Linked DNA regions of Schizosaccharomyces pombe. The protein of the gene in region 1 binds, or shares a complex with, the protein of each later gene. Each region holds a gene or a part of one and is shown on either strand. Other genes may lie near its edges.

The links.
Region 2: rik1 (region 1) and raf2 share a complex: the UniProt entries of both Schizosaccharomyces pombe proteins name them as parts of the clr4 methyltransferase complex.
Region 3: rik1 (region 1) and raf1 share a complex: the UniProt entries of both Schizosaccharomyces pombe proteins name them as parts of the clr4 methyltransferase complex.
Region 4: rik1 (region 1) and cul4 share a complex: the UniProt entries of both Schizosaccharomyces pombe proteins name them as parts of the clr4 methyltransferase complex.

What each region holds. Positions count from the first base shown.
Region 1 is NC_003421.2:1,464,689-1,473,810, reverse strand, and holds rik1 (CLRC ubiquitin ligase complex WD repeat protein Rik1), read right to left. Parts: upstream 5,930-9,122; 5' UTR 5,638-5,929; coding exon 2,515-5,637; 3' UTR 2,031-2,514; coding exon of another isoform or gene 1,998-2,030; 3' UTR 1,955-1,997; downstream 1-1,954. Other genes in the region: SPOM_SPCC11E10.09C (alpha-amylase-like protein), read left to right, coding at 485-1,444, 1,511-1,954, 1,998-2,030; translation initiation factor eIF2B alpha subunit Gcn3, read left to right, coding at 7,805-7,958, 8,016-8,155, 8,211-8,653, 8,750-9,038. UniProt on the Schizosaccharomyces pombe protein: Component of the Clr4 methyltransferase complex (ClrC) which contributes to the establishment of heterochromatin by specifically methylating histone H3 to form H3K9me.
Region 2 is NC_003421.2:498,607-505,525, reverse strand, and holds raf2 (CLRC ubiquitin ligase complex subunit Raf2), read right to left. Parts: upstream 4,762-6,919; 5' UTR 4,668-4,761; coding exon 2,757-4,667; 3' UTR 2,646-2,756; downstream 1-2,645. Other genes in the region: erv29 (cargo receptor protein), read left to right, coding at 1,001-1,909; kcs1 (inositol polyphosphate kinase), read left to right, coding at 5,760-6,919. UniProt on the Schizosaccharomyces pombe protein: Component of the Clr4 methyltransferase complex (ClrC) which contributes to the establishment of heterochromatin by specifically methylating histone H3 to form H3K9me.
Region 3 is NC_003421.2:97,512-105,308, forward strand, and holds raf1 (CLRC ubiquitin ligase complex WD repeat subunit Raf1/Dos1), read right to left. Parts: upstream 4,754-7,797; 5' UTR 4,661-4,753; coding exon 2,744-4,660; 3' UTR 2,205-2,743; downstream 1-2,204. Other genes in the region: ubiquinol-cytochrome-c reductase complex core protein Qcr2, read left to right, coding at 1-490; protein meu23, read right to left, coding at 1,210-1,974; rhp16 (ATP-dependent helicase), read right to left, coding at 5,174-7,797. UniProt on the Schizosaccharomyces pombe protein: Component of the Clr4 methyltransferase complex (ClrC) which contributes to the establishment of heterochromatin by specifically methylating histone H3 to form H3K9me.
Region 4 is NC_003424.3:3,450,271-3,457,946, reverse strand, and holds cul4 (CLRC complex subunit, cullin 4), read right to left. Parts: upstream 5,003-7,676; 5' UTR 4,892-5,002; coding exon 2,687-4,891; 3' UTR 2,200-2,686; downstream 1-2,199. Other genes in the region: nde1 (NADH dehydrogenase), read right to left, coding at 1-674. UniProt on the Schizosaccharomyces pombe protein: Required, indirectly, for activation of ribonucleotide reductase through the degradation of the protein spd1, thereby supplying deoxyribonucleotides for DNA replication and repair. Also has a role as a scaffold for assembling ubiquitin ligases.

The DNA.
Region 1 (9,122 bases):
CACATACACCTTTTCCAACTACCATCGTTACTATTTACTTAACGATGCATGCCTTATAATGTGTTAACTTGTTTTGTTTAGTACAAGTTGAATGTAAACAAAAGCCGAAAAGCGTTGAAATTAAAAAAAAAAAGCCGCAATCGTCGGAACCGAAAGGCGGAGTATTTAAGACCCTCTGTATTTCAATATTCTTACTATATTTTTGGCTCTTAATAAAAGCAGCCAAAAGACTATAACCTTTAAGTGAGAGTGTCGGTTTTAGCAAACGTCCCTTTTTGAAAAGTAAAACAAATTCTGTACGAATCTCGGATACTTTTTTAAATTTGTACTGAAAGGGAAGATTTCGAGAAGAAGACTCTTTGTTGATCAGTAAGCAAGGCTGAAGAAGCGATCCAGACGAAGGCGTAGCTGAAGGCTTGATTTAAAGCTGCATTGTAAACGAGACAGTTACCAGTGAATGTTGTTTACTTGACGAAAAGGGACTATGAATCTAATCTGCTCCATTCTGCCGAAAAAAGAACCTTCCTACCTTAAATTATGGCGAAAGCAAGTTATATACCAGGTATTAACGGACAGATTTGCTTTGGATGAGGATAATTTTTATGCAAAAGCTAGCGGAAATCTTTACCTTGGGGGTACATGGAAGGGTATTACTCGTAACCTTGATTACATTAAAAGTCTGGGATGTACGGCAATATGGATTAGCCCAATAGTTAAAAACATATCTGAGACTACGGATTGTGGTCAGGCATATCATGGGTATTGGGCACAAGATATGACTCAGTTAAACGAGAATTTTGGGACAGAAGAAGATTTGAAAGAACTAGTCAATGCAATTCATGAGAAAAATATGCTTTGCATGGTTGACATAGTTGTCAACCATATGGGTCATGCCGGAAGCAAACCCGTAAACTTCTTACTTTATCAACCATTTAACTCTGGGAAGTATTATCACAACTGGCAGTTTGTACAAAATTACGATGATCCCCATGAGACAATTACAGGTTGGTTAGGAGATTCACATGTGAACCTACCAGACATTCGAACCGAAAAGAATGAAGTTCGCAAATTTTTTCAAAATTGGGTTTCTGATCTAATTAAACGTTATCAATTTGATGGTATCAGATTGGACACAGCCAAACATGTCGAAAAATCCTTCTTCCCAACATTTATTGAAGCAGCTAATGTATTTACTACAGGAGAAGTTTTTCATGGAGATCCTAAAGTCGTCGGGGATTATCAAAAATATCTCCCTTCGACTTTAAATTTCCCTTTATTTTTTCAATTGCGGGAAACCTTTCTTGACCCCAAACATTCTATGTTTTCATTTTATGATAAGGCCGTACTTGATGTTCGACATTACTTCAAAGATGTTACCGTCTTGTGTAACTTTTTGGAAAATCATGATTTTCCTCGCTTTTTTCATGAAACCAAAGACATCGCCGTAAGTCTATTGAACAATATTTCAATTTAGTACCTGCATTTTTTATATATTTTAACATTTATTTAGCTGGCTCTTAACGCATTAACTGCACTTATTTTCATGGACGGTATTCCAATTATCTATTATGGACAAGAACAGATGTTTGACGGTGGTAGCGATCCTGACAACAGAGAAGGTCTTTGGAAAAGTAAATACAATACTTCCAATCCAATGTTTAGACATCTTTCTTCAATGATACGCACGCGTCAAAATTTGGTTGAGACCTACCCAGAGTTTACATACGTGCTATCTTTTCAACTATACATTGACGATTCAGTTTATGTATTTACTCGTCCAGGAGTCATTATAGCCATAAGCAATGAAGGCTCTACCTCGTCGTTTAAAGTTGAAATAGATTTGAAAGAACACTGGAAAGAAGTGCCTTCAAGTTTTACAGATATTCTTACTCAGAAAACCATCCCCTGTAAAGACCATAAACTGAAGATCAAATCAAAAAGTGGCTTGCCAAAGGTAAGCATTTAGTTCATGTTTTATTCTACTAACAATTTTTAAGATCCTAATTTCCTCTGACCCTAGCTTCCTATAGAGAAATTACACTAGAGTTTCTCCAGTTTAATTACACTCCAAAAATACTTGGCAACACGTGATCGCCAAATGGAGAAAGTTTTTTTTTAATTTTTTAGCTTAAAAAATTCCTTTGAGCTTTTATGCCAGTTGAAGTGCTCAGTTTCTGTCATATGAAATTTAATAGTTTCATTTTAATTATTGAAATCCAGAATATATGTCATCTCGTCTTAGATAGATGAGCGATGCAACAATTATGACAAATATCTTGAATTTCGAAGAAGATTTTACGAAAGAAATTGAGACTGATAACTTTTTAACCAAGCTTTATGTACTTGTATTTATCAGTGCCATGTTGCGACAGCTTGTGACTTATAATTATAAATCAAAAGATTTTTTTTGTATTACTCACAAATGCATAATACAGTCCTAGAACCAAACTTCCAAATTTGCAATGATCCATAAAGTGTAAGATAATAACTCAGAGCAAAAAGGCAATAATACGTTTAACATAAACTTTGTATTTCCTCAAGGAGGGCTTGAACTTTTTGGTAAGAATTGAGTGATTCCCTATGTTCTACACTTCTGCATAATCGGAAAAGTTCTGAAGATGCCCATCTTTTGACATCGATAACCAAGTCTCCATCAATAAACGGGACTGGAGAAATGAGGTCTGCTTCTATACTTTCGTAGTCCATAGATGACAAGTATGAAAATTTTAATTTTCGAATTTTTCTTGTAAGTTCCTCCAGTTCTAGCTCCTTATCTTTTAATGATACTATACTCCCAATAGCACCAATTTCCGTTGCAAAAAGCATTTTTGGCTCTAAAAACGAATTGGTATTTGTTATTGGGAAATTTTGAAATTTGCTAACTTTATCATGCAGATGGTACACACTTTCACAAATGAATCTGTCATTAAAGTTTTTTGCATCTTTGTTATAACGAAGAAGTTTTAGCAAGCCACTATTAGTTGCTATTATATAAACTGTTCCTTCATATAATGCTGCTTTCACAATGTTTTCTCCAAAAAGGTATCTGGCAACGACAATAAACTTTTGGCCATCGAAGTACATAATCGTAAAACGTCCAATACTGTCCGCTATAGCAATCTCGTTACCCTCTACGATGAGTTGTAAAACTATAGAACCTAGTGATATCCTAGAATCTATCATAAGCCTTTCCTCGGTAAGTTTAACGATTGCAACTTGTTGCCCAAATGCAACGATGTATCGATCATTATATACCCCCAGATCTATCACGGCCGCAGATAGTACCATAGACGAAACTACCTTCAAAGACTGAAGCTCCTTTTCAAACTCTAACAAAATTAATCTTCCATTTACCGGCACCAACTTATCTTGTTCTATAATGCTTGTTCCTACAAGTAAAGAACTCTCATTAATCTTCAAAACTTTCTCACAACGTTCATTTTCGGTAAAAGAAAAAACCCTGAACGAATTATCATCATAACTATCGACCAACTCCAAGTGATAATTTTCCTTGTAACTTTCGTAATCTTCATATCTATTCTCGAGTGTTCTAAGCAACAGTTTATTTTGAAAAATAATGGCTTGTAACGGAACATGCTCCAAAAGTACTTTTCTTGGGGTCAATTCTGGCAATGGATTAAGTTGAAGGAATTTCAAGCCCCCTAATGATACAGAAATGAGAAAATCCTTCCCTGAGTTATCACGAAACTGACACACATCATAACTTTGAGGCATACTAAGCGGCATATAACATAGTGCTCCATTAAACCCATATACCATGTGTGGACAGTCATTGTTGCATATGATATAGGTACCAATATTCATCGTAAATCTCCTAAACGATACAGGGGTTGTACCGAAATGTTTTGTTTCAGAGAATACCAGATTATTTTTGAAAAGTACATAAGATTTAAATTCACCACTTCCGCTAGAAACTAAAAGAAGATTTCTGTCAACACCAACTCCTTCTAAAATAATATTTCTGGGCAATGATGGAACGTTGGTTTGAAAGGCGCAGCTAATTGACGAATTATCTGAGAATGTAAGTATCATCACCTGCTTAGACCAAAATCCAACTCCTATTTGAAATTGCGCTGAAAAATCAAGGCAAGAAATTTCACTTTCAAAAACTTTTCGTGCAACTTCTGTATCTTTTTTAAATATTGCCAATGCTGTTCCATTGATAACGATTGCGGAGTATTCTTGATAGCAAGCAGCGTTCGTGATTTTTTCAATATAAACTAAACGAGAGCGCTTTGCAGAATCGTAGATACAAAGAAAAGTAGATGTGACTTGTACAAACTCACCATTCGTCCCTGAAAGCGCAATCGTCCTTTCTTTGGTTGATAGAGATGGGTCTAGCTCTAACTGGAAATCTTCTTTGATATTAAAAGCAACAGTTTCACTAGGAAACCCGAGGAAGAGCTTATGCTCTGGATATGATGGTAGGACCATAGCTCGAAGGATGCCCGAGATTTTCGTCTGCCCTAAAATATCTAATTTCAGAGCATGTTGAAAATAAATTAAAGAAGCGTTTCTTGGTGTTCCTGCGCATACAAGGAAACTTTTTTCAATGTCGTTTTTGAGTACTAGTAAATCATGAATGGGTCCTAAGTTGGGTATTGAGTCAACATCCTTCAAAGTAGACAGGTTAATAAGTTTAGATTCCGAATTTTTGCTTCCGATAAACAAGAGTCCCTCATGGATGGAATTTAGAGAAGTAATAAAGTCGAAAGGTGGGATTGGTAGTCTTTCCATAACCAAGCTCCATTTGTTTTTTCCCAAGATACTCGAATATACTCCGAAAAGATATCCATTAGTATCACAAACAATATAATGCATCTTTTGCCCTTTCAAAGGAGTCCAATGCATATAAGTAGTACAAGGACCATTGATTGTAACAAAATTACCGCGATACATGCAATGAATAAACAAACTCTCAAAAACCAGCAAACCTCTTTTTCCAAAGGGCATGATCATTGACGGTTTAACCCGCTCAAATAGTCTAATCCCCTTTCCCAAACTTTTTGAGCTTAAATCTAAAAGAAAAGCTGTTACATAACAATCTAAGCCATCGCTGTGAAGGACCACAAGAGTTGGGGTACTGGAATCATTGAGAATGCACATATCATATATGAGATGCACTGGAAAAGAAAAAGGAAATCCGCTATCTATAGAACGGCCAGTTTTCAACCGTTCTTCGGCAGAAAGGATTCTAATACATATCATGGAAATTTCGTCAATGCTTAAAAAAATAGCACGCATCCTTAAGTCGACAAGGCAGTAGCTTTTCGCGTTGCGATTCCAAGGAAATGTAACTCGATAGCGAACTGGAGGATGGTCGACGATCACTTTTTGATAATCCTCGTCCCAATAAATCGAAAAATAAGTATCATCATTGAGAACTACAAATAAATAGTCTCTATCTAATCCTGGAGGGCGATATGGGCGTATATGTTTCACCGTAGAAAATAAAGGGATAGAGGTAAAGAATTGTAAGCCATGAACCTCACTACAGAGATAAATATTAATTTTTAAGGCTTGTAATAAAACTAAGCAGTTTTCAGATGATATAAAATGACATGAAGTCGCTGTGTCTACCGCCGTTGCCCAGAAGGAATGAACACATAAAGCCATACACGATGAAATCCATAAACTGATATAATAAAAGGAATAAAGACTTTTTTTAACAAAGAAAAAAATAAAAAAAAGAAGCTTTGAGTTGGTTCAAAAGATTATGACTAGACTTATGTGATTAAAAAACAGTTGAATACAAAAATAAAGAGTGGACGGCCAAGAGCCACAAAAGCCTAGAAAAAGGAATTCAAGATAGAAAAAATATGCTACCAAGTGACAATCTCTATCAAATCCTTACCAAAAAATTTCGATTTTGAATGAAAGTGCAAGACGCCAGTTACAGGCACTCCGCAGGGAGAAGAAACGAGATATGCAGTCTCTATACATTTTGCGCAAGCGAATTTATTGTAAAAGTTGATATGCATTTTTTAATATCAGATACTACACAAAACATTTTCTGATAATCATAAAACATAAGACATTTTCAACTTGCATCTTAACTAAGCCAAATTCTACATCAATGTTATAAATTTTAGCATTAGCCATATTGGGGGAAATCGAAAGCTATTGATATTTTTATAATTGCAAAACGATTTGATAATGTAGAGAAGATATTGGAATATGTTACTCTCATCGATGAGCAGAATTAAAAGCTATGGGAGATAACGACTATTGCTATTGAAAACAAGAACTAGGCACGCAAAGAAATATATACCTTCTTTACTATAGTGCATGGTATTAGAGTTACTTAAAAGATTATTTTAACAACTTGCCGATCACGAGGTGATTCACAGATTTATAGCATAAATGAAAACCTACGGATGTCTAGCAATAAAGTTAGGATTTTACTGAAATTCGAGTCGACAACTAAAACATAATATTTTTGTAGCATCGCTTTGAATGATTGAGCATGTAAATATTTAGATATAATTGAAAGCATAGAAATTATCATAAATGATTTTCTTTAGATGCTGAAAGTAATAGCGTTTTTTCTATACCAGTTTAGTGTTCGCGTCATCCATAAATACCGAAGTAAAATCAAGCTTAATATAAGCGAGATTTACGAAGGTTGGACTAAAGATTAGTTTCTCGTAGAAATGGTCATGAACTTTTGAAAGGTCTCTTAAACATAAAATAGTTTTTTAAAAAACTTTCTATATTACTTTTTACCAAATCCAATTACTGCTTTCATCAGTACTCCTTTTTTTTTAAAATGGAAGCGTTTTGACATATTTCGTTCATGATACGCTCAACTATTAGGAACATAGTAAATTATACTACAAATTCACTATCTATACAATGATAAGTATCGTTGAACGTTACATATTGGAAATCAACAGTCAAGCATTGTTTACTGATCACCGAGGAAGAATTTCATGATTATCCTCAGATGTACTCAGTCAAGAATATGATATTAAAATTATTCTCAATATTTAGCTTTAATTAAATATAAGCTATTTAATAAACCAATTTATATGTAAATACCATTCAAATCACCTACATAAATATCTATAGGAACATATCTGTAGATCAGTATCCAAAACGCCGTATAATGTCAGCTACGCAGTTTGGTATCTGCTTTAACGATACGAAAAACTGGTGAATTTTGCATATGATCCATTATATTATAATAGCCGGGTTATATAAGTAATGACTAAGTACTGGTATTGTACTATTTAGGTTATAATGTCACCTATCACTTATAACTGAACTGCGAAATGAGGTTTAGTTGTATCTCTATCGATTCTATCCAAATAATCTATCTGTTAATATAGTATTATCAATATCAATCTCGACATCGCATCATCTACGTTGCGTATCACTATATGTCACATGTTCTAATTATATATCGTACCATGTATGATACGATATTGAGATTGATCTTAATGATAATCTATTAAGATCTATATTATCTGAATAATATAAATAGAGCTACTGCTGAACCTCGTTCCTCAGTTCAGTTATGAGCTATATTAGTGATAGGTAACATTATAACTCAGTTAATACAATACCTATACTCAGTTGCTACTTATACAACCTGTGTATTGTAATATAATAGATCACAAGGAAAACTCACCGCAGTTCTACGTATCCTTAAATCAGATACCAAATTGCGTAGCTTACAATTTAATACAAAAAGGCATTGCCCGTTATTTGATTTTGTTGGATATCCTTAAAGTATGGAAAAGATGTTGCTACTAAGCAAGAGCGTCTAGCATCTGCGAATATGGTGGAATCGGATTCTTCGGGAATCGTTCGACATTCTCAAGGAGAATTTGACATCGTCCAGGTTTACAAAAAATTTTTGCAAGATGATCCAGAAATCACGATGCCTGTAGCCGCCATTGAGGCTTTAGTCCAGCTTTTGTCGCGCTCTCAAGGTATGTTAATTTGTAGTACTCATGTGAGAAATGAATTTACTGATGTTTTTCTATTAGCCAAGACAATTTCAGAATTTATGGACATTTTACAAAATGGCTCAAATACGCTGAAGGAAGGCGTTCAAAACAACATTTCGCTTTCAGCTGGTTGTGACATTTTCCAACGGTTTGTCACTCGATCACTACACGATGTCGGGGTATGTGTTGATGCAAAGTAGTTTTCTTTTCTTTACTAATTCTCCACGGCTTTAGGATTTTGAGCAATGCAAACGTCACTTGGTAGAAAATGGAAAACTCTTTATTCAGCGTGCTCGTGCTTGTCGACAAAGAATTGCACATTTAGGTTACCCTCTTATTCGAGATGGTAGTGTTATTCTTACCCATGGGTTTTCACGCGGTGTTGCGGCTGTTCTTTTGGCTGCTGCCAAGCGTCACGTTCGTTTCAAAGTTTTTGTCACAGAATCAAGACCTAGCGGCTCAGGCTGTCTAATGACGAGAACATTAAAAAATGCTTGTATTCCTACTTGCATGGTTTTGGATTCCGCTGTAAGCTTTACTATGAACCGTGTAGATTTGGTCTTGGTTGGCGCAGAAGGTGTTGTCGAAAACGGAGGACTCATTAATCAAATCGGTACTTTCCAACTTGCCGTTTTTGCCAAACATGCACATAAGCCCTTTTACGCAGTTGCAGAAAGGTACGTAAACGTTGAATCCATTCAGCTTACAATTATTTTTCCCTATGATCTCTCCATTTCCCTGTTAATTTTAAAATTTGTACTAACGTTTTTTAGTCATAAATTCGTGCGTATGTTTCCCCTTTCTCAATATGATATTCCCTTTAGTCGTCCTATTCTGGAATTTGATGATCCATCTCCTGAAACTGTTCATCCTGAACCTGAACCAATTCCAACTCCATCAGATGCTATTCATAACGAGCTGATCATGAATGAAGAACAAATTCGAAATAATCCTACTTTGGATGTTACACCACCCGAATTTGTCTCAGGTCTCATTACCGATTTAGGGATCATTGATTCGAAGAGTGGGGTAAGCGAAGAGCTAATTAAATTGTATCTTTAGCAATCAGATTCTCCTGATCTTAAAAATAAAATATGAATAGATTGTACTTTGAGTTGACTTAAATTTCTCATAAGTCTTGTCCAA
Region 2 (6,919 bases), 970 kb from region 1:
ATAAAAGTGCACTTATAATTGTTATGATTATTTAATAATACAATATCCCGCCAAAAAAAATAAGAAAAAAATAAAAATAAAATAAATTTAATAATAAGCTAATATTCACATTGATGTTGCTATAAAGGATTTACCAAAATTTCCACGGATAATAAGTTTGTTTTCGCCGTCAAATGACTATATTGAGATTTGAACTTAACTCACGTATTTGACCTATATACGATACCCTTCTTTAAAATTTTGTTTGTATAAAGTTTTTACAAATGTTCATTACAACGACTCTTGCTAAGAAAGTAATAGCTTTTGTAATGTCAAGTGTAAATATCACACACATAAAACTTAACTTCCACTAAATTCATTTAATTATGACACTAACTTGAAAGTATTCATTTGTGATATGGAAATGGGGCCTTTTATTAATTTATTTTTGCTTTTCATCAATAAATGTGATCAATTAACGACTCATGTTAATTTTCAAACTACATCCGAACGCCATCCAAATATAGTTTCTAAAATTTAAACCTATATTTTCAAGCTTTAAAAATCATTACAAAGCAGCTTTCATAAGTCTTTGGCTCTCCTAAATATCCCATTCTTTAACTCACTGCAAGAGGTAATAATTTCTTAGACTACACTAAACCAATTTGCGCTTAATAGCGAGCCTTAAAATAAAAAATCAGTGTAGAGGTTGAAGAATATTCAGGAATCTCAATAAAAATAAAAAAAATAAGGATCATAGAATTATTTAAATTATCCCAAATTCATCAAATTGTAATGCTGTCCTTTTAGGAAATTCTGGTTTGCCCTGGATGACGACTGCATGCCAACAGGCCATAAGGAGCAACAAAGGAAGAGACAAACTTGCGCTTCTCCATACAAGAGGTTGAATTGAGGAAACTGGAAGTTGGCCTTATCAAGTTATTTCTAAGAGATATTTGAAGTTTAAGGATTAAATATTTATAGACACCAAAAAAACCCCGAATTAATACGAGCTGAAAAGATGACTTCACGTTCGCCGTTTTCGACAATCCCGCTTTCTATGAACCAGGATTCATATCAAACAAGGACTACTGTGGGTATCAGAAAAAAGACATTTTCAGAGCGAGCATGTCAGTTTATGGAGCAAGCTGAAACGTTCATGGCACCATTTACTCCGTATATGCCGCTCTTGGGTCGATTCCTAATTGTCGCTACTTATTTCGAAGACGCTATTCGGATCGTTACTCAATGGCCTGAACAAGTATCTTATATGCGGGACTACCGCAGATTTCGTTTTGGGACTGCTCCGTTGCTGCTGTTTGTTTGTGTTGTACTGATGTTGGTTGGTTCGACATTGGTCGTGTTTAAAAAGCGTCAGGCATATGCCATCGGCTCTCTTTTGTTTGTTACACTTTTACAAGCGTTTGCATATGGGCTCATCACCAGTGGTGAAATGTTCTTTCGTAACATGAGCGTGATCGGTGGATTATGCCTTGTTGCCAGTGACACCTTTATTCATCGTCGTATCAATAGATTTGCAGGTTTACCGGCCGTCTCCGAACACAATAAACGTACTTATTTCCAACTAGCTGGGCGTGTTCTTTTGATCTTTATGTTTTTGGGTCTTTTGGCTAAGGAAGGAAGTGGGATTTCTTGGACTCGAATTCTAGTTCATATTTTGTCTGTTACAGCCTGTGCCATGGTGGTCATTGGTTTTAAGGCTAAATTCTTCGCTGCAGTCCTCGTTCTTATTCTATCTGTTGCCAATTTCATTATCAACAGCTTCTGGTCGGTTCCTCGTGAAAGTCCCTATCGTGACTTTTATCGTTACGACTTTTTCCAAACCTTGTCTATTGTTGGTGGTCTCCTATATCTCGTCAACACTGGACCGGGCAAGTTTTCCGTTGATGAAAAGAAAAAGATTTATTAAGCCAAAATACTGCGTGTTTCTTAAAAAAAAATGAAAATGTTGTTTTATTTTTTAATTTTTTTATGATTTGATTTAATTTGTCAACCTTGTCCTTTTATATCATAAAATCCTTATTTTACAGGTACTTTTCTTTCACAGGATCTTGCCTATTTGTACATTCCTTTGTTTACTTTGGCTCCATTCTTGTATTAGAGTTGAAATTACACTTTCTTCTATCTATGAGTGGGATCGAATTTAGGATATTATCCTATCACATTAATTTTTTTATGTCAAAGAAGTGAGCCTCATCATACTCATGTTTGCTCCTACTGATTCATGATTAGATGATTCTATTTACGTTTACAAAACCAAAAAGATGGGTAATCGTCGCGTATGGTCCGTATTTTCTGGAACAATTTTTTAATAGTATTGCTCTTTTCTAAAATAAATACTCGTTTTTTGCTCGTTTTCCTTACGCATGAACATTTAGTAGTTCTTGGCGTTTACATTCCTCTGTTTTTATTTTATCGCTTGGTCTCAGTTATTATCAAAAATGGGTTCTGGTATTTTGAACGGCCATTAACTTTACAATTGTAAAGGGTTGGTGTTTGATTTTGTTTGATCGTCCTATATTACATTTGACAAATAATTCAGCTATTTGTACACTTTAATAGGCACATTTATAAGCGTATCAAATTGTTGTTACAAAATGTGTTTTTGAAATTGTTTATGAACACATGATATTTGTAAAGTAAAGTGTATTTGACATTAGCCATGTAAAATTGTAATCCTTTATAAACATACTATATATTAACTTTAATGCAGTGTGTCTTTTGTTAATTACTAGTAAAAATCATCATATCTATCATTAATTTATGTTGTACATTATGTGTTCAAGTTTATTTGTAAACGATCGGACACTGTTCGAAGGAGTTTTAAATATAAACTTGGAATCTACATGTCCTAAAAGATGATCGTAAATGACCTGAGAAGGTTTATACGGGTTGTCACAAACAGCAAAATACAAACAATTTTGTACTGGACATGACCAAATACCAGTCTGTAAATCCGGACTAACTTTTAAAGCCTCAACTTTCTCCAAGTTATATGAATATAATCCAGTGTCTTGTTTAAAATCTGTTTCCTTTTTGGATAAGCAGGAAGATGCGGAAGCTAAATCGAGCAGTTTTGTAGGTCTATACGGTAAAGTCGACCTCGTTGACCTATTACAAGGGAATAAATTTGTTCGATCCAGCCATACCTGATCGCATAAATTTGGAGTTGATGAATATACTTTGGGATATTTGTTGCGAAGTAATTTCAATAATTCATCATAGAAGCTGAATGCAGGCCAATAACCAAAAGAAATAGAAAAAAGTTTAACAAAGTCAGGAAGAACTGTAACAAAATTTTTTTCAAAAATTTCCTCCGTAAAACTGAAAGCGACAGCTGAGTGATTAATGTATTGTTCATATGTATAATCTGAGCCAGAAAGGCCTGATCCAATATCAAATAACAAGAAATGAAATAATATCTTGGCCGCCAATTGAGCATTTGAGAAATCTAGTTTCATGCATATTAGAGTCCTCAAGAGATGTAGACTTGTTTTTTCTCCATTGTTACAATGCATGAATAAATAATCATAACAATATCCACGGAATTGAGATCGTGCTTGTTGAACAGAAGATCTAAAACCAATTGCGTGCTTAATATCATTAAAAAGCTTAGTACCTCTCCACGTGAAAGCAGTATGCATAATTTGCAAAAGGGTTTCGCCGTGGGAAGAAAGTTTATTCAAAGCTTCCAAATTTGTTATTTGTAGCTGTTGAGCAATAACGCTGCAAACTTCTTGAAGGCTAATATAACGTTGATGCTTCGGAGAGGTTGAAACTTGTATTCTTTTCCATAATGATATCGATTCAATATTTGGATCAACAATCCTTAAACCGGAAAGCCAAATATCATTCAAAGGAAACCGTAATGGAGAAGTTCTTTTTACAACTCCTAGTTGTGGTGTTGCTGTGGGAGAGGAAATGCTAAACGGTTGCTCGGGTAAATTAATTAAAGTAAGAGCTTGGTTTAAAGAGCTTTTCATAGTAGTATTATTGTCCGATGGATTGTTTGACGATAACTTTGATTTCTTTCGCTCTTGACGAGCATTGTAAATGTTTTTATTAATTTGTAAAATCAGATGTTCGTATGAAGATCGAATTCTTATAAAAAAAGGTGATTCAGACCATACATGTAATGAAGAAGTCGCAACCATTTGGGTTAACAGAAAGCGAATATGTTTTTGCACTAAGAGAATTGCTTGAAAACAAGAAGGAAGCTCTAGCTTTTCCTTTAAAACTTCGATATAATTATCGTAATCTTCTAACGTACCAGATATCATATCATCTTTGAATTTTGTCTTAATAAGGTAAAACAATCGATTCTTCTCGCTGATCTGTTCGTAAATGGCTTTATACTCAGAAGAAGGAGACAAAATTCCGTATCTTCTTTGAGGTGTAACGATCCATATGCTCATAGTTTCTTTCTCAGGAACGTCTTTTAGATTGTATGTCCAAACAGGCGATATTTTTATCGAGTATCCCAGAACAATGCTCTCATCAAACAATGGTTCTTGCTCATCCTTTTCAGAAGATAAAATTCCTGTTAATGAATAAGGGCCATATTCTAGAACGTCCTCTAAATCTACTAATTCCCCTGCTTTATTTGTAACGCAAACTTGTTCAATCAAATCAGTTTTCCGCTTTTTTTCAGCACGTACGGGCGGCATCGCTAGCTTTTTCCTTTTCCCCAAAAACAATACTCTTCGAAGTAATATTGCCTATTACTATAGACGGCATATTTTTGAGGTAAACATTGGTGTTAAATTTCTGATCTCTGCTTCTGAAATTTAAGAGAAGGGTATCCATTGTACTGCACAAATATATAATTAACGTCTAGTGCGTTATACTTACGATACGTTAACAATCACTATACCTATAATTGTGTTTTACCAACATTTCTTTCGGCCGTGAACATACGTTGCTTCTAAAGTACTTATTCTTTAATTAGAAAAATATTGATGAAGTTTGATTTGTACTCCTCAGCTGATTGTAAACTATTTTAGTGCACATATAATACTATACGATATCTCTTAATATTTTGATATATTTATTATTGTATAGAAAACAGAATTTTATTTAACATTATTTTTTATATTAGGAAAACCCACCGCAGTTCTAAAGTATCATTAAGTGTTTTAATGATTGCATAGCTGACACAATGCGTAATTTAATGACAGATACGGTGTATTATTATGTGGATCTTTAGAGTAGAATAATTGTAAGCTACGCAGTTTGGTATCTGATTTAAGGATACGTAGAACTGCGGTGAGTTTTCCTTGTGATCTATTATATTACAATACGCAGGTTGTATAAGTAGCAACTGAGTATAGGTATTGTATTAACTGGGTTATAATGTTACCTATCACTAATATAGCTCATAACTGAACCTCGTTCCTCAGTTCAGTTGTAACGCTATTTATAATATTTCTAAATAGTTGTTATCAACGGGTATCTACGTATATAGACGGATAGTTACCCGTGATTATCAATAAACGGATCTTAGCTAGTATTCCAACATATGACATATAGTGATACGCAACGTAGTGTATCATAGCGTAGTGTAGTATTGCTGACAATAATGAATTTAAGTAGTTTCACTATACGCCTCATTATACTGTAAGCTAGAGCAAAGTAAGAAACTTGCCAAGAACCAAAGCGGGTCTCTGCGAAAGGTAAACTAATAAAAATCGGACAAATTGGAGGAATTGAAGGGGAATTAAGGAAAAATATTAATTTAATAGAGATAAACTTATGAATTTATGCAGAACGCACCAAAGTGTTACCTGCCGAATTCACGTAAAGGCAGAGACGTGAATTTTCATGATCGAGGTCCTGAAACGTTAAAATGCTTGTACGATGAATCAGAAGATAACAATAATTTTACTATGCATTCTGAATCCATAGGTCCTAAGTCATTAGACAGTTTATCGCCTAGAAGGCTAAGTAACTATTCATCTGCTGTAGACCCTCGAACTACGAGCTTGGAAGATGTCCCTCGCTTAATTTTAACAAGAAGTAATTCACAAGAACAAACCCCTTTGAGAACACACACCCCTGTTGAATATATGAGTGATTCAATTCACAAGAGTCTAGCTGACTTGCAATTAGGTGGTTCCTCTTATTCAGTTGCTGAATCACCAGTACCGGTGCTGCAGTCTTCAGCCGTTTCTGAAGCTGATGATATGGCAAGTGCTCATTCTGCTCATCCGTCTCGAAAGGCAAGCAGGTCATTACGTCTCTTTGAGTCTTCTACCTCCAATAACTTAGAAACCGGTAACAGTACTAATACTGCTTTGCACAACGTGTCGAGTCCTCTTGAATCTGTTTCTGAAAGGCTCTCCAAATCTGGATCACCAAGTGTTGGTGCTCAGCATGATTTAGATGAAGTTATTTCCGAAAAAGATACATCACTAAGTCGAAGATCATCTCGTGGTCGGAGCTCAGCTCCTAAACGAAGAAAAGATAGTGGTAGTTCTAAAACCACAGCCACCTACATACCACATAATCCTTCTAAAAAGTCATCTCAACACCTCCCTTTACTACCTGATGCTTCGTTTGAGCTTGAAAGGTCGGTATCCCGTTCTTATCAAAGTCCTGCATCCACCCCGCGATCATCTGTATCATCTGTCTCATCATCTCCTCCTGAAGACCATCCTTTTTTCCATTGGAATGTTGATTATCCGGTTACTGTACGATTGGAACCCTTCAAACATCAAGTCGGTGGACATACGGCTTTCTTCCGGTTTTCTAAAAGAGCCGTTTGCAAACCACTTACAAGAAATGAAAATACGTTTTATGAAACTATTGAAGCTTGCCATCCAGAATTGCTTCCCTTTATCCCAAAGTATATTGGTGTTTTAAATGTGACTCATACTATTACTAAAACAGAAGAAAACGATTCTACTACGGAATATGTCAA
Region 3 (7,797 bases), 1.4 Mb from region 1:
TGTGTTGTCTTCTATACTTGGAGGAGATGCTGCCGTGAAATGGTCTCATGGAAACACTCTCCTTGCTAAGGCTGCTGGAACTGCTTCTGAATACAAAGCCACAGCTGTTGCTGATCTCACTCCTTATTCGGATGCCAGTTTGCTATCGGTCGTTATTTCTGGCAGTTGTCCAAAAGCTATTAAAGCTACTGCCTCTGAATCTTTCAAGGCCCTTAAATCATTATCTTCTAATATCCCCAATGATGTTGTTAAAAGTGGCATTGCAATGGCTAAGACTAAGTACTTGTCTGCTTTTGAACCTGTTACTTTGAACGCCATATCTGCTTCATCTTTAGTTTCTGCTTCAAAAGGATCTGATGCCTTTATTAGTGGTTTCGACAAGGTTACCCCCGCATCCATCTCTAAGGTGGTTTCATCTTTATTAGCCAAACCTGCTAGTACAGTTGCTGTGGGTAACCTTGACGTGCTCCCTTACTACGATGAGCTTTAGGATACTTCTCTACAAATCTTTTTTTTTATCGAAAATCTTTCTTTGAAAACTTTTTATACACCATAAGCTTAGGATGATGTTTTGAATTATTTTTTTTCGTAACATACTTCATTACTCAAATTCACAGTCCTGACGGATCGTCTTATGCTCTCCTTTAGGCAACAATGATTAATGTTATTTTCCAATGAATTAATACCAATAAATAATTTGGTAGTATTATTATGTATGATGACGATGTACTAATTTGTAAAGAAATTAAAAAATATATATTTATATATGCAATGCAACATTAAAATAATAGTTTCTCTCTTGAGATTTCATAAACAATAATGATAACTATCGCCATCAAGAGCGGTTAACTTATATTAACTTCAGATTTCTCATAAAACGGATTTTCGAAGACAGTATGTTATCGTCTTTATGCAAACATCATTTTTTAAAAATTAAATATGCAAGCCCATGGCATCTTATCTTAAAAATTTTACCTCACAAATCACCTAATTTGAATGCTTTGCTTTCGGTATGCTTTTTAATTCAACAATCACAAAGATTCAAGATTATTCAACATCAGGTAAACAAGAGTTATAAGTAGCTGGGTTGAACTCTTGAACGTTTCACTCCCAATAATTATATACATTTCCAATATAATAATACACGTGAATAAATAGTAAAAAAATATAAGCGATTAATTTTCGTCGAGTACTTTTCTGCCAGAATCGCTAATTAGGAAATCCAGAAAAAGGATACTCTCTGTCATACTCTGCCGATAGGCCGACCGCGCTAGCAAGTTTCTTCTTCATCCCAATAGTTTCGTTTACATGAAAAGTTACCCCATAGCCCTGTAAATATCGAGAACATTGACTCCTAGACAACCGATCTACATCTTGAACTGAAGTAATTGGAGGCAAATCAGGGTCCGGATTATTACCATTAATAAAGGGAACAGGCGAAATCACGTATGCACCCTTCCTAAGATCTCTATTTTCCGCACGAACTGAACGCATATCGAGAGTATTGACCTTATTTGTGAAATTAATCATATTTTCTTGCATGGTGTTCATGGTCCCTTGCATAGTGTTCATGGTCCCTTGCATAGTATTTATGGTTCTTTGTAAATCTGCCATACCGCTCATTAAAAAGTTGAGAGTCCTATTCTGCTCCTCGCGGTCTCTTTGGTACCAAAGTGGCGGTTGAACTTGGCTTTCTCTCTCAATTTCCAACGCGGTCCACTCATCCACTCGACGTTGAAACCTTTTTACGCGCTCATTTGTACGAATCTCCTCTTCATTCAGGTGAGTTTTGTTCTCAAGGGCCCTTCCCTCACTCTCTAATATTCTATTTCTCGCTTCTATTCTTCTTTTCTCGAATTCAACTCGAAAGTCGTTTAAAAATCTATTTCCCTCCTTTGAAGAGGATTCAGTTGGTGGAGGAATATTAAATTCATTAGAAAATTCCTCGTTCAATTCACTTTCAGTATTAGGCATAATTTATTGTTTACAAATTAATATTGTTTAGTAGTAACGCGAATAGCAAGCTGGGTGCAGCCAAGTGTAGTGGTACATGAATATGTAAACACCAAAGCTGTAAACAAAAAAGCTTCCGGTAGTTGTTCATCATTTTTTTAAATTGAAAAGGTGAGTTGATGATTAAATTATGGTTTTTGTTAACGGCATGTTTTCAAGTTAACTAATTACGTTTGCTTGAAGAGTTAATTCAACATTCCATAAAAAATCTCCATTTCTGTTAACATTAAGAGTTTCGGGTCTAAGCTAAACTTAAATTTATCTATGTTTGATATTTTAATTTAATTTGTAACACATTTTTCATCCTTTAACCGTGAAAGCTCATTTGTTTGTTACTATGTTTTGCTTTTGAGTTATCAAACCAGTCAGTTGATCATTAAAGAAACATATTAGATATTATTAAAATTTTCTTGCTGTAAACGTCAATTCAATAATCAGCTTGACTTTACCTTCACTGAGATTAAGGTTTAATTTTCCATTATCCTTTAGAATCATTGCAAAATTTTTGGCCTTCTTCAGTTCTTAAATATTTCTCGGATCGATCGCTGTCTTTAATTTTCTTGCCAGTTCACCCACGAAAAGGAATTCGATTAAATATTCATACTAGCTGAGCATTATTTCTTTTATACCTTCTCTGTATCCTAGTCGTCTAATAAAGAAAATTTTTCTTAGCGCGAATCTCCATTGACTGATCATCTTTACATATACCTTTTCGTATTTAAACCTCAATTCAGGTTAAAAGTCGATTTTCTATAATACGAAACTCTCCGAATTTATTACCATTGTCATTCCCCAAACTGTACATATTGACGTCCCCTCCAACACAACATACGGTTAGCTTTGAAGCATCCTCACTGAACCCTCCGTAAGTTATGGCTGAATTCATTTCCGTAAAATTTTGTATGAATGGATTGTTCAATCTCAAATCCCAAACCTTTACAATGCCATCACTGCCTCCGGTAACGAACAAATTCCCCTTAGGCTGCCATTGTGCCATATTTATACCTGCATCGACTTCCTCTTCATTAGCCCCGTCAAAATGTATCATTTTGGTTTTTCCATGCTTAAGCAAGCTAAGAGGTTTATCTGGTTTACGCGAATCCCAAACAAACGTCTGGTTATCTGTACCACTAGAAGTTACCAAGATTCCAGAGTTACTTATGGTGGCATGGTTAATGTCTTTTTGCGTTGTCGTAAAGTTGAGACAAACCTTATACATTCTTGTGTCTAAATAATATACTCTTCCATTGCTCAAAGTATTGCTACTTGCGACAAATCCAACTTGAGAAGGATGCATATATAAGGAGGTAAATGCTTCGTCAGCGGTGTTGAATTTTTGAACGAAGCTGGCAGTGGAAGCATCAAACAGAGCCAAACATCCTCTGTTATTAGAAGTATGAAAACTATCATATCCAATAATGACTTTGTCAGATGACCTTCCCAAAAAATTGGAAAATTCAATCAAAGATGCAGAGTACCCTTTTTCTAGAGCTTCTGGATAAATTAAATTAGCTGATGTGAGAATTTCTCCTGTTGAGTTGTCAGTGCTCAATAAATACCCATAACCATTTTTGCAAGCTACTGCAAGTAAATCGTCATCAGATAGAGCAAGCTTGTGAATATAGTCTGTGGGTGCATTAAAAATCCCACATAAATTTCCTTCCATATCCCAGACTTTCACAGCATTGTCGAATGCACCTGTATAAAGAAACAGATTACCCTTGGAAAAACACAAATCTGATATCGTAGAGTATTCCTTTTCTCCTACTTGATTAAGTTTATAATGGCTTTCCAATGACTGAATAGTTTCTGAGTGAAAATCACCAATCCATAAGTTGCCTAGTCTATTGTAAGCACCATCTTGTGCTGTGCTGCCTAAGGCAAATTTTTCGCACAATGGATTATATGCAACGCACACTGTATCCCCACTAGTTTCATTGAAATGTTTCCAAGGTTTTAAAAAGAAAACTGATTCCCCGTCCATAAGTTGATGAACTTGTTCTCTTTGGAAGTAAGATGAGCCTGCATTGTAAAAGGATTTTAAGTAATCTGGAAGTAATTTTTTATTCTTCTTGTATGTTCGTAAAATGATGGCCCCATGTTTGTCCACAGGAGACAAGCTGGGGTTATCAATTTCAAATTTCTGGCAATCTTCATATGCTCGTCCAGGAAGTTTTGGAGAAATGTGGGTCGAATAAGCATCATTGAACTGAACACTGTTTACCGGTCCAAATTTTAGTTTAGCTTCTTGTAAAATAAAGCATTCCTCTGGTGTAAAATCAACATGAATGAGTGATGGTTTATCATCGCCTGTAATGCTATTTGAAAGTAAATGAGTGTGTTTTCTCACTCTTTCACTCAAATAAGGACGTGAATTAGGTAAGAATGTCCCAGACGTTAGTAAAAGTTGCAATTCTAATCGTTTATTTACATTTGATGGAACTTTTGCAATTGAATGCTTCGATATTGATAATGACGGTTTCGGGCAAGGTAGCTCTGCGCGATAAAAAGGATCATAAATCTCAAATTCTTCCTCAAAAAATTCTTCGTTATTTGTGTCAAAGTCAACCTTGGGCAATTTAGAAGAGACGGAATGCAAATATTGCGTATCCGTTCTTCTTTTCACCCGTGGTGAACTATTAGTCATGCCATAAATAGGAAATTGTTTGAGAAATTATTGGGCTTTTTACTTTTAATCCTTCAGTGTGCAAGTTCACTAGTTTAACAGAAGTTATGGGTTGCTGAGTGAGTTTAAGGCACTGATTGATATAAAGAATTTACTAAGTCCAAAAAGTATAAAGACATTCCAAAATCGAAAATATTATATTAAAATTGAAGATATAATGATTATCTATTGAGTTACTATTATTACAAATTTATCAGTCAAAGGTAAGTTAATGACTTTACATTGAAGCGATAAAATCTTAACTATGTTTAATTTGTTTTAAAAAACTTTAACCGTTCTATTGACAACTCAATAATAAATTATATCCATTAATAGGAATCCCCAAAAAAATAAATAAACTTCCAAAACGCATATACTGACTTAGGGAATTACGGTCCAAAAAACTAGGATAACAAAAAAAATGCAAAGGGAGATATGGCAGGTATATAAAAAGGAAACGGCCAAAATTTGGGCTAATTTTAAAAAAACAAAATTCTAATTTGAGAACAAGAATTGCATATCCTCGACAGAAAGCTGGTTCAAAGCCTTTTCGTCTTGATCTATGGTTGCATGTATCATCTGAGCTTTCTTTTCTTGTAGTTCAATAATTTTGCTTTCAATGGAATTTTCAATACACAGGGTAATTACTTTTATCGGCCTTTTTTGTCCAATACGATGAATTCGATCCATTGCCTGCCACTGTACAGCTCCATTCCACCAAGGATCCATCATAAACACTTGAGATGCCTCTGTAAGGTTCAAAGCAACACCACCTGCTTTCAACGAAACTAGAAAAATGGTAATATTAATATCGTTACTGAAAGCCTCAATAGTAGCTGCTCTCGCTTTGGGGGTCATACCACCATCTAGCTTTACACAATTAAACCCGGCTTTTCGAAGTCGCCAATGAATGAGATCTAACATAGAAGTAAATTGAGAGAAAACAATCGACTTCAGTGTTCGGTCCTTCTTACGAAGTAAGTAAAGCTCCTCAACTAATGCTTCAATTTTTGTAGATGAACGCCAACTATTCATATCAATTCTATTCAAAATCGATGCATTCTTAAACTTCTCTTCAGAAAAATCTTCTAAAGCAGGGGCACTAAGATCTATGCTTAAGGGAATGAAACAACTTGGACAGTTGACATTTTCTCCATCACCAGCTGCATTGATATATTCCGTAACGCAGAGTCGACAAAATGTGTGATGGCAACGTGATTCTATAGCATCTTGAGCGACTTCGTCACAAATCTTACAGACGATATTTTCCTGATTTTCAATATCAACTGTTTTTCGTTTGCTAGCTAACACCAGGTCAGGATGATCTGCCATTTGGCGCATTCGTGTAATTAGCTGGAAAATGTTTGCATAATTATTCAAAACGACACCTTCAGCAAGATATGTATTAAATTTTCTTTTTGAATCCATATATAAAGATTGGTATACATCTTCCTCTTCTTCGTTGAATAAATCTTTCCTCACTTCAACGACTCGAGGAGGTAATCCAAGGTCATCAGCCCTCTCTAATTTTGTTCGACGTAACATAATGTGTTTTAATAAAGAATGCACCTTTTTAAAAGCTAGCTTTCCTGGACCTTCGTATCCAAACTTTTGTATTGGTTTTAGCATTTCAGCGTTAAAATAGCAAGTATGACTCATTGGTTTATGGCCGCATTCGTCGCAATTACTTCTATCGGAAAATCTCCAGTGCAGAGATTTACATTCACATTGCAAGCAATAGTAGTAAGCAAAAGGATCTGCCCGTAGGAACCGAAGAAGTGAAAATAATTCTCCAATACGGTTTTGCAAAGGTGTTCCTGAAAGACATATCTTTCTTGTCGTTCTTAAGCCACAAACAGCTCTGGCAGTGTTACAAGTCCTTGATTTGATACCATGGGCCTCATCAAGTATAATTCGGTAAAACTCCATTTGATGAAGTAATGACTTTTCTTTTACAACACCGTTTTTCCTTCTGAATCCGCTGCGTTCCTTCCTGTAAACTGATTCAATTACATTGTAACTCGTTAGTACAACATCATAGCTCGAAAGCTCTTCTCCTGAAATATCACGAGCCTGGCCATAATAAAGATATGTACTCAGTGCTTTATTGGTATGTGTATCAATCTCTTCTTTCCATTGCATAATTGCTACAACCGGAGCAACAACCAAGGTTGGCTTACCTCGAGGTTCTGAAAGCAACAACGCAATTGTTTGAATAGTCTTACCCATACCCATTTCATCGGCCAAGATTCCTCCACCAAAAGAGGAATCTTCTTGTCGTTTTAACCAATATACACCTTCTCGTTGAAAAGGGAGAAGGTTTAGGACCAACTCTTTGGGTTGCTCGATCTGTTTCACTTCACGAGGTGCTTCTTCTTCCAATTTCTCCCAAACATGTTCTAGTTCAGGATGTTGTCGAATCAGACGATAATGGGTTCTTTCATGTGATGGAATTGATTTTGCTTGTGTTCTAGAGGAAGAGGACGCGGAAGAAGAAGCCCTAGCGGATACCCTCCTTCGTTTGGACTGGTAACTTAAAGGGATTGACTCTTCATCACTTTCCGTAGAAGAACTTGGAGCAGCTTCTGGAATTTCTACTTTACTATCAAAAGTTTCATCCTCTTTGATATCAATTATGCTAGCAACTTCATCACTTTCATCATCATCAATAAATTCGGATTCATTAGATTCTTCTGGAGATGACAATGGCACAAACTTTTTTTTCAAATTCGAGGACCTTAATGAACGTTTTCTGGCACTAGAAAAACCTGTATTGGGATTTGCTTCTACATTGTCTGTGCTGCTACCGGTGTGTGTACTGGTATCAGAAATGGATAATGGGGGTGTCGAATGTTGAGATGAGGTGTTGTTTGACTGGATAATCAATTTTTTGTTTGTTGACAGAGGTTCTTCAAACTCTTTTCCGTTCCAGCGCGTTGTCTCCATATCTAACTTGTCGTCACGCTCGACTTGTTGATTTGAAGCATTCCCCTTTGAATCACCATTATCATCTAGAACAAAATGCATATTTTCTTTTCCCTTATTACTATTCGAGTTTATTTTATTACATGACGTCCCCATTTGTGAATGTAAATTGTTTTCAACCACTTCCTCATCTT
Region 4 (7,676 bases), on another chromosome or scaffold:
CAAATTTCCTTCAAGAAACAGCCATACTCGGCGATACCGGGAATGTTGAAGGTTTGTGTTTCAGCACCGTGAGAGCAAACAAGATAATCATACTTGATTTCCTGCTCTAAATCGACTCCATCAGTGGTGGTTTTCTTGATATGGATGACCTTTTTGTCGGCATCGACGTCTGTACATTCAGCCTCGTAAAATTTAACATAGCAGGACTTATGACGGAGCATATAACGAATGGGCTGTACAATGCTTCGAGTATGAACGGAACCAGTGGCAGTAGAAGGCAAAAGAGAAGTGAACAAGAAATAGTTTCTAGGGGAAACAACGATAACGTTAAAGAGAGAAGTATCAATAGTACGAAGAATAGAAGTGGCACCCCAACCAGCACCAAGGACGACCAAAGTCTTTTTGGAAGGATCGGGCAAAGGTTGATGAGGATCAGGATGACGGAAACGGTAGACATTGGCACCATAAAGAACAACAGCCGTAGCGAAAAGACCTAATGTAGTACGTTTCAGGATCTTCCACTTACTTGTGGTGCTCTTGGGAGAAGAAGCAGCATCGGAAGCAAAGCGCACGCTGTTTGCAAGGCGAAGATTGCGAGAAGCCGATAAAGCTAAGGGAGATTTTGGAATGCCAGCCTTTGGCATTCCTCGGAGAATAGACCGAGAAAAAAGCATACTAACAAGCAACTACTAGAAAACTTCGAGAGAAACAAAAAAAGATGCTAACTTATTATGTGATAAAAATACACAAAGAAGAGGGGAGAGAGAGGGGGGTAATAAGTTATCCACAAACACAATCAAGGAAAGTTAAAAAAATTGTGGATATCAACTGTTTGCTTGAAAAGCCTTAAGAGGGGAGATTTTTAAAAGATGAAGAAATGGGTCTTTATTTTAACAACAAAGAAAATATATCAGGGGTAAAATAATATTCGGTCAGTTGAAGAAATGGATAGGATCAACAGAGGCCGCAAAGACTGAATAATTAAGTTGAGTTGGGAGGGGGTGGTTAAAGTGACTCCGAAGAGAAGCAAACTACAAAGAAAAAGAAAAAAAAATATAATAAACCAAGTACAACACTTACGGCGTACTCAGCTATGTAAGTGTGCTCCTTTTATACACTCGACGATTGCGCAGATAAGCGTCGATTTAATAAAACGTATTTTCCAAAGGCTGATATGATATCCTTGTAGGTAATCAATCAGTACAGCCAAATGGTAAAAAATGAGCGGTAGGTGTAATGGTAGTTGTCAAAGTCGGACAGGGTATTTTAACGACAATTTAATACACGAGCGAGACTATTTTGATAAATTGTACGGGCGGATCCGTTTGCGGACTTTTAATGATGACTCCCGTAACGCTGACGACATGTATCTGCACAGCGATTCATGGCCCGCCTCTGTGAAAGAGGGAGCGACCATTCAGCGATTCCAGCCGCGTCCGCTACAACATACCGGACATTGTTGTTTCTTGACTTCGATTAGCAATGTAAATAAATAGAGACGCTCAAAAACACCTACAAAACCGATAGTTTCAAAAACTCATATACAGTTGCTTCACCTCAAAAAAGGTTCTACCTTTAGTCATGGTCACAGGGGATTGTGGGGTGCAACTTTTTCACAAACTCTATGCATGCGCAGCGGCGTAACCGAAAATTCCCTCATTGCATCTAGAGGAGCCATGTCATTATAAAGAGACGTATAACGTGATCTAACACCAAGCTCGCAAAATCTGACAGCAAAAAATACCAACCGCGTTATCTAATAATACAGTAATACACTTTAGACAACGTTAATGAAGACAGGACGCGCGCGCATCGCTTTTGATTTGTGTTTAGTCTGTTAGAAGCATGCTGGGGTAGATGTGTAGGTGAGAAGCTAGGTTATATAATCAAAGAAGATCAAGCAAACTAGAATCAATGGTAAATTCCTTCTCGTTTTAACTATGTCACTCCATTCTTATGAGGGAATTCGTGACGGACAAAACAGAAGATACCGTTTATTTGCTTTCACCTAGAACTGATCAAGAAGCTTAGAGAATCAATAACGCTAAATGTCCCAATTTCCTACGCCAAATACTTCAACTTATTCAATTTATTGCTTACATAGGAGTGTTTTGATGTTGGTTCTGAATACATCCAAACAAACACGTGTTTCAGCTACATCTACATCAAGTAACACACACATCACTGTCACTTAGAGATGTAAATAATGAATAATATAAGAGGTGTTTATGGGCAGGAAAACCAAAATAGAATACCTTGGGCTTTACAAAATTAATTAGATTTATTAAATTTTTACTTTAGATTTTGTAAATAAAGGTGTTCTATAAGTGTGATAAGCAGCACCACATTCCATCCATGTTAATCCTTACATTGGAAAATGCGGTACTTAGCGCGAACACTTTCGTAGAAGGCAAAAATGCAAGGTACAATTTTAGAATGAACTTTGGAATTGTTCCTTTTCCAAACTGATTGGAGAGCAGTGCAGACTTCCTTGAATTGGTTTCCAGATTTCAATAGCATTACTTGACACGGACAGGTAAAGAGGTGTGTGTATGAACGACATATGAGAATAGAGAAAAAAAATCCACTGGAGATTCACCAGCAAATAACAAAAAGGATGGAAAAAGAATAAACATATAACCAGAAAAATTAAATTAAATCAATTAAAAAACAAATGCATACTCTATTAGGTGACATATGTATAAATATCATTATCCTCGCGTTCTAGATACTCTTTCTCTAGTAGTTTTTCAATGGCAGTTTTCACATCAGACACCAAGGGTATTCCCCGATCCTTAACATTGTTTATAACGTATTGAACTAAATCGTCATGCTTCATTTTTTCCTTTTGTTTCATTACTCGAACGATACTGGCTTGCAACTCAAACTGTCGATCTCTCACTACTTGTTCTTGAACATCAGAATTTTCTTGCCGCTCTTCCTTTAAATAAATTTGGTTAATTTTTACACGATATAACTTATCTGTAAACTTTTCATTAACATAAAACATGGTGTCTGGACTGGGTTTTTTGCTTTTGGGAACCATCACTAATGGCCGAATGCGAGCACAACTCAAGGACTGTAATGTACGAGTCAAATCGATATCAGAGAGCTCTGTAGATTTTTTCAAATCTTGATACGAAATCCCTTCTCCACCCAAACAATTGTTGAATTGAAGTAAGACACAGGCTTGGAAAAGCGATATACTTAGTTCCTTATTGCCCAGTGGAAATCGGGCTTTTACGATGCAATGTCCTAGCGAAGCGTACCAACTGATTTTTTTCCCAACCTGCTTTGAAAGGTAAAATTTTTCAAAACAATCCAAATCCTGTTGCATATCATCTGGAAGCCGGATATGTGATTCTGGATAAGAGGGCCAGTAAGCTTGGGACAAGACGTTAACATACAAATCTCTATGAAGGTTATGAGCAGCCTTTGAGTGACGAAAAGAAGAAGTAAATTCTTTTGAAATGTTAACGTCTCGAAACATACCCTCCAAAGAGTGAGTAAACTGACTACCGCAGGTTTTCTTAAGCATATCCAGAAGCATTAATTCATTTTGCGCACTTGCAGATTTATTAAGGAGAAGCCGTTTTGCAATGTCCAGCTTGTAATACGCCTCAAAGATATCTTTACTAGCGATGTAGCGGAAAAGATCCAAAATTTCCGAAAATACTTCTTTCAGAGGCTTACCCCCTGAAGCCTGTTCGCCAACTCGTAGCAAATAATCAATGTATTTTGCAATAAGCCTAGCTGGAGCTTCTCTTTGAGATCCCTTTGCCCCATTAATGAACGTCTCGAAGGCTTTTCGCATGGCATACGAAAGGGTTTCATCATGAAGGAAACTTTCATCCACCACGACTTGTAAGAATTTGTGGAACGATAACAGCTCTTGAACCAAAGTATCATCCTTTGATTCATCGTTAACGAGCTTGAAACCAACGTCCACTAAGCAATCCGACCAGGGCTGAATTAAATATTCGGTTTCATGATTGAATTGCAGTAATGCATACAGTAGTTTACAAGAATGGGCATCCCTTTTTTCAATGAACTGACTTATACCCTTTGTGAGTGTGTCAAGATGTGAAGTAATTAGACACCTTTGAACAGTCTCTCGAATGGACTTTTTATCGCGCACAATATCAAACTTTTCAACGTAGGCATCCTCCCGCTCAAGCGAACTCATCGCATATTCCAAGTACTCTTCCAAAGGCAGCTCTTGAATTTTTTGGCTAGACTCCGTATCATAAAAACGGCTTAGCATAACTAAGTACATGGGAACAAACACAGAGCTATACATTTCCGTGCGATGTAGCATTAACATCGCATCCTGTAAATAGGCGTGATCAGTGCTTTTAGAGCTATGTAAATTTTCAAAGCTTTGGAGAAGAGAGTTCAAAAAGGGAATTTGTATGTTTTTGACTGCCATCAACTTTTCACGAAAAAGTGACAGAGACAGCTCTTCGATTGTCGGGTAATCTGGATGGTGAGAAAGAAATGTTTTGTCCATGTAATAGAATATGTTTTGAACAATCTCGACTCTTTCCAACCATTTGTTCCAACACCCTACTACTACGGTGCATGCATTAGTGTCTGTTTCAGTCCCTTCAAGCTGTATAAAAGACTCCGCAGAATCCTTTAAAAGCTGGATTCCTGAAGACATATGATGTTGTAGGATGTTAAAGCACCGAGATGCTTGATCCGCTCTTGTTAAATTTTCGACTCCCGAATATAACTCTTGGTAACCTGTTTTTAAGCCTAAACCGGCCATCACTACTTGCAAAGCCATGTTCAAACGATCTATCATCGTCACATAGTAGGTCTCTTGTCTTTGCCTCGACTTTCGTGGGTCAAAGCCTTTAACCACGATACGTTTTGCTTCTGGAGGCATAGGTGTGCTAATGTGAAATAAAAAGTAATAAATAGATGTGTGGAAAGCCTGAGCTCTTTCACTACTATAGTTTCACCTGCAAAAACCAATTTTGTGCTCAAGTAGTGACGTTCAGAAAAGTCGGTTTAGAGCAGCACATATAGACAAGGTACGAAGTTCCTATTTCACTTTCAAGCTATTTTTTTGTGTCCATCTCACTAAATAAGCCTTTTTTTTCACTTTAGAAATTCTTCAGTTTTTTAGAGATTTTCAAGCTGCGACTCATTGCAATTAGCTAACTATTGTTTTCCATGTTTATCCTCCACTATCCACAACGAACGCCAGTTGTTGAAACAATTGGGTGCTTGAGTAAACTATTAGCTTCTCTATAGTTTCTATAAAGTTTTTTATTTGTCTTTTTGTTTATATAGGTTTGAAATTACAAGGTCAGGTTGACTTGGAAAGAGAATGGCATGGAGTCAAGTCGAGATTTCCAAACCACATCTAGCATATGCTATTATAGGAGGATTTACTTCATTATTTATGTTATGTTCTTTAATTATTAAGGAAAAGCTTTTTTTGGGCGAAGCAAGTAAGTTATTAGTGGTTGCAAAGCACAATTGTTTGATTTGCGTGTTGAAACGATACTTGAATTGTTTGATTTAGCTGGTAGTAATTCCAGATTATTCTTTCGGTTTACGTTCGTTAAATAAAGAGCGATCTCTAGATATTTCAGTGTGCATATTCCACCATATTATTTTTACTCTTCAATTCTTCATATATGTGAAGCATACTAACTTAATATAGCTATGGCAACTGCTACGGGTCTCATTTTTGGTCCTTACGTTGCAAAACTGTTTGTTCCCACCAGCTGGGGTAATACCGACTACATCACCGAGGAACTTGCTCGAGTCCTTTTAGTTGTCGAAGTTTTTGCAGCTGGCGCTGAACTTCCAAGAGCATATATGCTTCGACATTGGCGCAGTATGTTTGTTATGCTTTTGCCTGTTATGATTTTTGGATGGCTAGTAAGTACTGGCTTCATGTATGCTTTAATTCCCAGACTCTCTTTTCTGGAGTCATTAGCTATAGCGGCATGTATTACTGCGACAGATCCAGTGTTGGCTTCTTCTATTGTCGGTAAAGGTAAATTTGCACGTCGAGTCCCAGGTCATCTTAGGAACATGCTTTTGGCCGAATCTGGATGTAATGATGGCATGGCAATTCCTTTTCTGTATTTAGCTATTTATTTAATTATTGAGAAACCTGCCCGACATGCTGGCCGCGATTGGGTATGTATCATTATTTTATACGAATGCACCTTTGGCTGTGTGCTAGGTGCAATAATAGGTGTAATAGCCCGTAAGATGATTAAATTTTCGGAACGTCGAGGATTAATGGATCGTGAAAGTTTTCTTGTATTCTACTTCGTTTTAGCACTATTTTGTGGTGGTATTGGTACCATCATTGGTGTCGATGATTTGTTAGTTTCTTTTTGTGCTGGTGCTGCTTTCTCTTGGGACTCATGGTTTTCGAAAAAAACAGAAGAATCTCATGTTTCCAACGTTATCGACCTTCTTCTCAATCTTTCCTTTTTTGTATACGTGGGTGCTATCATGCCCTGGCCTCAATTTCACATGCCACATATGGATTTGAGTGTATGGCGACTCGTTGTATTGGCTATATGTATTTTAATTGCAAGGAGAATTCCTGCCGTTTTATTATTTAAATCATTTGTTCCTGATATTATCAATTGGCGAGAAGCTCTCTTTGCTGGTCATTTTGGTCCTATTGGTGTAGGTGCACTGTATACTTGTTTGGTTGCACGAGCCGAATTAGAAGTACATAGCACTGTACCTGAGCCTAATGATGCTATCGAAAACCCTGAAATTCCAAACTGGTATTGCATACAAGTAATGTGGCCAGTAGTTTGTTTCCTGGTTCTAAGTTCTATCATTGTTCATGGAAGCAGTATTGCATTTTTCATGCTTGGTAAAAGGATTAATACGTTGGCTTTGTCGTTTACGAGAACAAGGGACTCTCATTTTGCTTTTAACTTACCTCGTGTTCGTCAAGGACAAAGCTTACCAATTAAAAGAGTTGATGCGTTGCGCTCCTCTGCCAACTCTATTGCTTCTTCCATAAGAAGGCGTCATCCTGTAAACATTCAAGAAGATGAGGATGCTGATATATCAACTGTCTCGCTTCCTGAAGCCGCACATCTACGGGAAGAACGTGCTGAATCACCACGCGGAGGCCACTATGACGCTGAAGAATTTCCTTCTGAAGACTATGAATCTCGGCAACCTCGCCGCTCGAATGAGGAAGATAGAGAAGAAGAAATGAATCCTGGTGACGAGACATATCTTATTGGCGAAGACTTGGTCGTTGAAGATTCTCAAGGAAACATTATTTCGCATACCAGTTCTCGAGATGCAAATGGACCTTCAATTGATGAAAAACTCGCTCAAGGGGATCCGAAGGCAAAAAGTTTTGGTCGCAAGTTTCGCAGTTTCTTACGACGTTCCTATGATACTTTTCAACGTAATTTACATGAGCCGGACGACGAAAGACAAAGGGAACCCACTCTTGGACATATTGAGAGTTCTATTGAGAATCATAGGCCTAGATACTCAAGGCAAAATTCGGAATCTCATTTGCGTGAAAATAGTGTAGAACGCCGTCGTCGTGAACAAGTTCTTACTAATATTGGGGACAGTGAAAGTGAGGATGATAACATACCCAGGCCTGGTATAGTTCCATTTTACAACGAGAACAATGAAAGCAGTAGTGATACGAGAAATGG